2 linked regions of the Solanum lycopersicum genome follow. Each later gene encodes a partner of the first gene's protein in a complex. Links are inferred from orthologs where the notes say so. Each region holds a gene or a part of one and is shown in the gene's direction. Other genes may lie near its edges.

Evidence for each region. The genes of interacting proteins can lie anywhere in the genome.
Region 2: MSI1 (region 1) and VIN3 share a complex: the UniProt entries of both Arabidopsis thaliana proteins name them as parts of the plant homeodomain / polycomb repressive complex. The link is inferred for Solanum lycopersicum from reciprocal best matches to the Arabidopsis thaliana genes MSI1 and VEL1.

Annotation. Positions count from the first base shown.
Region 1 is NC_090800.1:88,997,477-89,002,392, reverse strand, and holds the start of MSI1 (WD-40 repeat-containing protein MSI1), read left to right. Parts: upstream 1-1,760; 5' UTR 1,761-1,902; coding exon 1,903-2,247; intron 2,248-3,449; coding exon 3,450-3,776; intron 3,777-4,215; coding exon 4,216-4,368; intron 4,369-4,891; coding exon 4,892-4,916. UniProt on the Arabidopsis thaliana protein: Core histone-binding subunit that may target chromatin assembly factors, chromatin remodeling factors and histone deacetylases to their histone substrates in a manner that is regulated by nucleosomal DNA.
Region 2 is NC_090806.1:12,273,031-12,277,356, forward strand, and holds part of VIN3 (vernalization insensitive 3), read left to right. Parts: intron 1-3,440; coding exon 3,441-3,760; intron 3,761-3,953; coding exon 3,954-4,326. UniProt on the Arabidopsis thaliana protein: Maybe involved in both the vernalization and photoperiod pathways by regulating gene expression. Binds preferentially to dimethylated histone H3 'Lys-9' (H3K9me2).

The DNA of each region.
Region 1 (4,916 bases):
AATTTTAGTTGATTTGGATTTTCCATCCAGTTAAGGGGTAAAACTGGTGAAAATAGTAACAGTAGGGGATAAAAATAACTCTACTTTAACGATAAGGGTATAATCAACCAATAACACAAAGTTGAGGGTATTTTGGCCCTTTTTCCTTAAATTAATATTTAATAACTGGAATAGTAGATTTTATGACTATCTCGTAGAGTTAGAAAAATTGCTTTTGAAAGATTATCAACTCAAGTGTAGTAATTTATTTTTTTTGAATAAAAGAAGATGAAAAAAATCATGAAGATTATTTAGCAACTAATAAGGGAATCAATGTAAAACCTACAAGAGAAGGAATAAGAAGTTAAGAATCGTATGATAATCGAAACGTAATAAACAACAAACAATGATAGATATCAAAAGCAAAAACTATATTATTACAAATAATACGACAACAAACATCAACATCCATTGTTTGTTAACCTTTTACCCCATTGAGTGTCCTCCACGCCCTCATGTTTAAGATAGTATTCTTGGTAATTAGAAGTTATTTTGTGTCGTGACTGATTAGCTCTCTGAATACTTCTTCTGCCTATTCTACTGCTTCTCGAATCTACTATAACTAACCTCTCATATCTCCTCAGTGCAGCATATGCACATCTCTTATTCATACGTTTAGATCATCTCAGAGTTACTTTCTTCCTATCACAAGAGGTTACTCTGTCCTTATCTTGGATATTCTTATTCATAATTTTATTGCTCTTGGTATATAGGTCCACTCTGAACATACAATTAAGGTATAATATATTTTCATTTTCATTTTTAGTAGATTACCAAATAAATTTTATGATATATTTATCTTACAATAACATATTTAACGTATTTTTACAGAATATTAAAAGGTAAATATGTATACAAATTCTACTCATATTAAATAAAATAAAGTTTTGTTTTTATACTCTCCACTCAATTATCAAACCTTACTAATCATAATAAAAAGGGAAACATTCAAAATAAAGGAATCAAGAAAAAATATTAAAGCAAACAAGAAAATTCATACTAAAAACACAAGCATCTATGACAAAGTAATATGATAATCCAAGTGCAATATATAACAAAAAAAAATAGAATTACAAGAAATTTCTCGATAATATTGTGACTCGTTTGGTTTGAATTCATATTTGATGGAATTAATTATGATGAAATAAGTTATGCTAAGAATATTTTTTATTGACTATTTGGTTTGTTGTATTCAAAATAATAAATCTTCTAAACAACATATATGTGTACGAGAACACCCTTCATGAATGTGAGAAGTAATATATAAAAAGTGTTTAAAGGGATATTTTTGTCAATTAGTCATTTTGTCCATGGATAAGTTATTTCAGAATTATTATACCATTCAAGAAAAGAAATAACTTATATCGGTACTAATTATTAATTGTAGGATCCTTTAATACTAGAAATTTTTTAAAATTAAATAAGGACATATTAGGAAAAAAAATTATTGTCCTTTCTTGATTTGTTAAAATAGACAAGTAAATAGGAATAGATATAAAAGAATATGTGGTCACATGAATAAGTAAATAGTGATAGAGGGAGTAGTTAACAAAGTAAAAATAGTTTATATTTAATGGGGCTAGAGGATAAATTTGGCGGCTATTTATGTAAAGATACCTGCACATCCAACCGATTCGTAATTCGGGTCACACAGCCCAATGTCGTCGCAATATAAAACCCTTTTAGCTTTGCACATATCCCGCAAAAAAAAAGAAAAAAAGAAAAAGAAAATTCACTGAAAAATACCGTTCCCTCCAATTCTCTACAAACCCTCGTAAAAATCCCCAAACTCCACAAAACCCAAACCCTCACGCACTCAAAACAGAAGAAGAAAAATCTTAAGGCAATTCTTGAAATTGTTTAATGGGGAAAGACGAAGATGAGATGCGGGGTGAAATTGAGGAGAGGCTGATAAACGAGGAGTACAAGATTTGGAAGAAGAATACTCCTTTTCTTTACGATCTGGTTATTACTCACGCGCTTGAATGGCCTTCGCTCACCGTCGAATGGTTACCGGACCGGGAAGAGCCGTCGGGAAAGGATTATTCCGTTCAGAAGATGATTTTGGGGACTCATACATCGGAAAATGAGCCTAACTATCTCATGCTTGCTCAGGTTCAGCTGCCTCTTGAGGATGCTGAGAATGATGCCCGCCACTATGATGATGATCGGTCTGAATTTGGCGGATTTGGTTGTGCCAATGGCAAGGTTTGAATCTATTCTGTTTTATGCCTTGTTTGGCTGTTTTATATGGGTTTTCATTTTCTGGATGTTTTATTTTACTACATTTTTCTGGCTAATTTCAGTGTTAACGTCTGAGATTTACTTGTTTTGTACTAGAGTTTAGTTGTTCTAGGGCAGCCTGTTTAAGAATCTCTTGAATTTTGATAGCTTTGGGATTATGTTATATAGTAAATGGTTTAAAGTTTATTAACAACACTATAACAAGTAACCAGTGTAGTCCCAGAGGGTAGTGTGTACACAGACTTACTCCTACCTTGTGGAGTTCGAGAGGTTGTTTACAATAGACCGTTGGCTCAAAGTTTTCTCCTTTGCAGCGTAGGTACTAGGGAGTTGTGAATTGGAAGTTGTCAGTTCATTCATGGATTTTGCTCAAGGTACAGTTAATATTTCATCAAAAATTCACCAAAGGGGAAAAAAGGGGGCCTAGCATAATTAGTGCACCATTTTCTGACCCACCACCACACCAAATAAGGGCACCTAATAGGTCAATCCCTTTGGGCAGAGTGAACTCTTTGACTGACATTTTCTTATTGAAATTTTATGCGTTGTTGTAGTTTTTATTATTCCTCTGCTTCTTTCTCTGTCCTGATATTGTTGAAAGGTTCTCTTCATAAAGGGCACTTGAGGCTTTTATATCATATATGAATAATGATGCTTGGACCCCAAATCAGTAGTGATTTGCTGGTAGCTTAGGTGAAATGGGTTGTAACAAAGCCAATGCTTCCTGATTCGGCTAGCGTTCTAAAACTAATGGTTTAGTTGCTCCACTCATTTGAATGTGAAGATGATTGGAAGCAACATTGCTGCAGGAGAAAACTGATGAAGTTTTGAATAGTCAGCTAGAACTTTAAAAAGCTTATGAGAATACCACTTATGACTATCACCTTTTAGTGTAGATTGATGTCACAGATATCAAAGGTACTATCCACATAGAGTCAGTGATAAATTGATAATGAATTCTTCTATTTATGATGAGGGCATGGAACTGTAAAATCTTATTCTCTAAAAAGGTTTTAAAAATGGTCTGTCAGTTCCAATTATCACTTGAAGGCCTTACTCTGATATCTTTTTGCTGTACTATTATTTCCCATAATATCAGAGTGAATTTCTTGTCTCTGTTTCAACATTGAGTGGCTTATGTATAATGATAAATATTTCTCTTTCAGGTACAAATAATCCAGCAAATAAATCACGATGGAGAGGTTAATCGGGCTCGATATATGCCCCAAAACCCATTTATCATTGCAACTAAGACAGTTAGTGCTGAAGTATATGTTTTTGACTACAGTAAACATCCATCTAAGCCTCCTCTAGATGGTGCATGCAATCCAGATTTGAGGTTAAGAGGCCACAGTACAGAGGGGTATGGTTTGTCTTGGAGTCAATTTAAGCAGGGTCATCTATTGAGTGGTTCAGATGACTCACATATATGTTTATGGGACATTAATGCCACTCCCAAAAATAAGGCTCTAGAGGCTATGCAGATATTTAAGGTTTGCCTCGTGTTTTTTTTTCTGACGAGTCTGCAGAGGATAGATATTGCCATGTTACACTGCATAGATTATCAATTTGTTGCACCCACTTACTACTTGTAGTTTTATCTTGTGCAAATAACCATAATTGATAATTGGAGAAGAACTTGTATGCTTTCCCTTCCAGCAAACACCCCCAGGCACCTCGAAGTAAAAAAAGATCAAGCGAAGCAGAATAGCATGAGTTCTCTTTATTAATATCATGTTACAAAGTTAAACTGTAACTTCAATAGTGTCCCAACTTTTGTCTCAAAGGATATTTTTGGTATCATCTTCTCTACTATTTGCTGTCTGAAGCTTCAGTCTACCTAGCATGGACAAGAATCTTGTCTCTCGTATTATTTTCTCATTAAGCTTTTGTCAGCTGTTGTTGGTTTATTCTAATATTTAAAATGTGTAGGTTCATGAAGGTGTTGTTGAGGATGTAGCTTGGCATCTGAGGCATGAGTATTTATTTGGCTCTGTTGGGGATGATCAGTATTTGCACGTATGGGATCTGCGAACTCCATCAGTGACCAAGCCTATACAATCTGTAGTTGCACATCAAAGTGAGGTGCGGCTTAGACTTCTTAGCTGGACTTTTCCACGTTTATGTAGTTAATAATGCTTCCCTTTTGACTGGTGTAAGAACCACTCAGATATGTCTTCTTAACATTGTTGGCAGTCTTTTGATTTTCTTGCACAGAAATGTGAGGATCTTGTGCTTACAAAATAATTATAGTTTTTCTTGAAACTAGAATTAGTGTTTCCCAATTTTTACCTGTACTTTTTTTTCTTTTCATTTTCGTGGGTTTACATTATTGGATGTGCAAACAAGTGATTGCTGTGTGTGTAAACTATAATGTGATGCTCATGTCTGGATGAATTTCTGTTTCGTTTTAAATGGTTTAAGGAGAAGATCCTGCCTTCCATACTCTCTGCTGATTATTAAATGTACAATATCATAGAAGGATGATCATTACTGCACATGGCCTATTATGAAAAACATTTCTGAATGCAGTTATCTAGATTTTTTGTGAACAAGCAGTCTTGTGTTGATGATTGTACATGATTGACCTCCTTTCTCTTTTGATCAGGTTAACTGCTTAGCTTTCAACCCCT
Region 2 (4,326 bases), on another chromosome or scaffold:
TGGATCTTCGGATGGTTCAAAATTGGGAAGCATAGATATAAGCTGCGAGTCTGTCTGTCACTTCCTTTTGTGATCCTATTGAATGATAGTTTTTGCAGATATTTTAATCTCCATAAGCCAGTTTGTAAACAACTCCTATTTTGTTCCAAAAAATCTTTGGATGGGAGGGATTGAAGGCCTTGTATATTTCATGAACACGTACAGACATGAACACTACATACCAAACTAGTTTTTGTTGTTCTCTCTTTTCCCCTTTTTGGTACTAGTGGAGATTGAGTACCTTGATTCCAATTTTTATTAAAATAAAGGTGATATTCAATGTTTTGCGAACTATTGTGGCATTTAATGTATGAGTCATATGATGAAATTATGAGAAAGAATGATAAGAGCATAGACTTGGAAACACCACAAGAGTAATAGATAACCAGTTTGGGTGCATGCCCTGTAGATCTACATCTGAGACTACATTTTTGTGTAGGAGATTGATGGAAGTTTATCGTAGACAAAATTTGCACATGGTGTTCATTGGCCTAGAAAAATTATATGATAGAGTACAAAGAAAGGTTCTTTGGTGGGTGTCGTCGTGTCGGAGAAGAAAGGACCTGTTAACTATATAAAAGTCATAAAAGACATGTATGAAAGAGTCTTCACTAGCCTGAGAACTGTAGTAGGGAATGCGAAGGAGATCTTGTAATCATGGATTTACACCAGGGATTGTCATTGAACCCATACTTGTTTATGCTAGCTACGGATGAGCTATCCAACATAATACAAGACGAGGGTCTAACCAACATGATACAAGATGAGGTCACTTAACTCATGTCCCATCCCTTCCCCTTGCCCCCTGGACATGATCCTATTCGACCACACCAAAGCCACCAAAGGAGATGTAAATTAAACAAGATGCAAGAGAAATAAGAATCTACTAAAACTATTGAATCAAGCAGAGAGACTAGGACTAATTAACTATAATAAGAACAGAAGAAAAGCAAGAAATATTATACAGAATGAACTGAAGCAACTAGCTCTAGAATATGGGTATACCCAAAATACTAACACCAGAGAAACCACAAGAACTATGAAATATATGGCACTATGGATCAAGAAACGAAGAGTCCGAGGGCAGAGTTAAATCAAGAGCAAAGTGAAGAAGGGATAGAGATATGCAATATTACACAATTAACAATGATACAAGAAAGATAGATCTGAAGACAATATAGGGAACCAATCTGAAAACTAGATCTGAAATGTAACTCTAGATATGCATATAGCAATGAAACAAATCTGAAAACCAGAAACTGAAGGCAAACTGATGTGAAACTGGAATAATTTGGGAAGATAGAACCTGTAACTTGAAGAGGAGATAGGAGGTACTTCATCCGGGCACTGGGGAGGTAAGCGGTCCGTGTTCTGCTGCTGCCCTTGTAACTTGAGACCCAACCCAGAATTATGGAGAAAGAAAACTCTAGAGTTGCTGGAGTAGATGTGCTTTCCAGAGCAGTGGCAGTGATGGACGAGCTGCGGTGGTGAAAGAAAACCCTAGAGTCAGGGTCCAAGAAAGTGAGAGAGAAATAGTCACAGGGAGTTTTGGCGCCGGTGAAGAAGATGGCCGATGAGTGGTTAGTGTGGCGGCAAAATTTCACCGGAGAAGACAGATTGTAACGCTGTCCAAGCAAGTTCTTGAATGAGATGAATTCTTGCACCCAAAGATGAAGGGGGTACATTTTCATGTTATTGCTAACTCAAACGTCATTAGCTTCAAGCGATAAAAGAACAAGGTTAAGAAGATAGGAAATTGTGTTTTTTTTTTTCCATGCAGGCAATTTACTGGGTGAATGAAATTATAGATGAAGATGTTACAAATAGAATCAGAATTGAATAGTTGAAACAAAATAGTGTTTCTGGTTGTTATGTGGTAGAGAGATGCCTACCAAAGTGAAAGGTAAGTTTTTTAGAATAGTTATAAAACCAACAATGCTTTATGAGAGTGATTCTTGGGTCGTGAAAGTTAAACACATTTACAAGAAGAATTTTGAAGAAATACAGATGCTAAGATGAATTTGTGGTCATACTAAATTTGACAAGATTAGAAATGATTATATTACTAGAATGTTTAAGTAGCACACGTCGAGGGGAAAATGTCCGAAAGCTTCTTGAAATAATTTGTTCATCATGTGTCAATCTGCAGTGTAATACACCGGTCTATAGGTGTGCAACCATTGTGAAGGTAAGTGTTAAAAGAGGAGGAAAATGCATCTAAGGACCTAAAATCCTTGGGAACCCATGCAGACATAGCGAAGTGGGGCACAGTGGATAAAAATCTAGATATTCGTTGCCTGTTCTTTTGAGGCGAGGGTTTATCGGAACCACCTCTCTGCCCCACAAATGTAGGGGCAAGGTCTACATACGTCCTACTCTCCTCACACCTCACTTGTGGGACTACAGGAGTTCTGTTATTGTTGTAGTCAATGCTTATTAGAGTATTAGTTGAAAATTTGTTTTAGGCATGTTAGCACTTTTACTGCCCTATACTTTATAGTAGTGGTTTAGCATTTCAGAGATTTGTAGGTTCAAAAAATTATGGAGAACTTTTATTACTTTTTATTTGTATTTGCAAAATATTGGCATGTTGTGAGTTTAAATGGATAACATGATCAATGAGGATTCATATAACAAACCCCAACTTGTTTGGGACTAAGGTGTACTGCTGTTGTGAACTTAATTTTCAATTGCATTATTGAATTATAGTGAACTATTTCCACTATTGTCAGGATGCAGCTGACTAGTTTAGTGAGATGGTTGTTGAATCAATAAAGGAAAAATGTCAAAGAACTAACGACATGTACATAAGCTCTTTTATTTACTGTGGCCTGTGGGATACATACCTCTATAATTAAAATGCAAGCTATGTTTATTATTTAGGACTAAAGATGTTCTATTTCTCTGATTCTTGCAGTTCCTTGAAAAAACAATATTTTGAAGATTGTACAAAAAAATAATATAAGAAAAAAATTATAGCTTTAAAAATGAAGAGAAAAAAAACAATCTACCTTTCACTAGAAACATTTTAGAAGTTCAAATCAAACAACTCAAATATTCATATTAATAAATAAAGTTTTTATAACATCATCCAAGTGCAGACAAATGACTAACATGTTATTAACTAAAATTTAAATAATTTGGTTTTAGGCCACTATATTTTAGTGAATAACATGTTAATCATTTGTATGCACTTGGTTGGATGATGTTATAAAAACATTATTTATTAATATGAAACATAGTTTAGTGAGATGGTTGTAGAATCCATAAAGGAAAAATGTCAAAGAACTAATGACATGTACATCACCTCTTTTATTTACTGTGAGATACAGACCTCTATAATTAAAAAGCAAGCTATTTTTATTAGGATTAAAGATGTTCTATTTCTCCAATTCTTGCAGTTCCTTGAAAAAACAACTGATTGTAGCAAGAGATACCAGGCGTGTAGACATATTATGTTATAGGCTTTCATTGAGCCAAAAACTTTCTTTTGGTGCCGAAAATTGCCCAAAGCTGTATGAAGTTCTAGATGAAGCAGTGAACAAGCTTGAAGCAGATGTTGGCCCTTTGACTGGTTTGCCTGTGAAGATGGCTAGAGGTATAGTGAACAGGCTCTCATTTGGCCCTGCTGTTCAGCAACTTTGTGGCTTGGCTGTTGAGTACATAGATGCCCTTCTCTCTGAGAGAGTGTCTGAAATGCCATCTAATGCTAAGGTCAAAGGTAATACTCATTCTAATTTGTGGTTTGTTTGTGCAGTACATAGATACTCTCCTTATTTTTATTGATTCTGTAGATTTACCTTTCTCTTCATGTGTTATTGTGATGCCTTCATTGGTTTCTTTGTCTAAGCTTGGTACTCATTTGATTTAAGTCAAGTGAAGTAATCAGCATTTACATGGGCTATATTTTTTAGATTGCGAGGTGATAGAATCAAAGCTTGTCAGATTTGAGGATGTCTTTCCCTCATCTGTGACCGTTGTTTTGAGTTCTGAAGGGTCATCTATGGAGAATGTTGTTGGTTACTCCTTGTGGCATCGGAAAGCTGTTGAAACGGAATATCCAGTAGAACCAACTCGAACATTGTTTTCCCCAAACACTAGGTTTGTGCTCTCAGATCTGATGCCAGCTACAGATTATGTTCTCAAGATTGTTTCCCTTGATAGCAAGAAAGAACTGGGAATGTTTGAAGTTCAATTCTGCTCCAGTAAAGCTGAAAATGAACTATCTAATCTGAACATGAAAAGTTTAGAAGTTGAAAGAAGTCAAAGTCCACCAACAAATTGCAG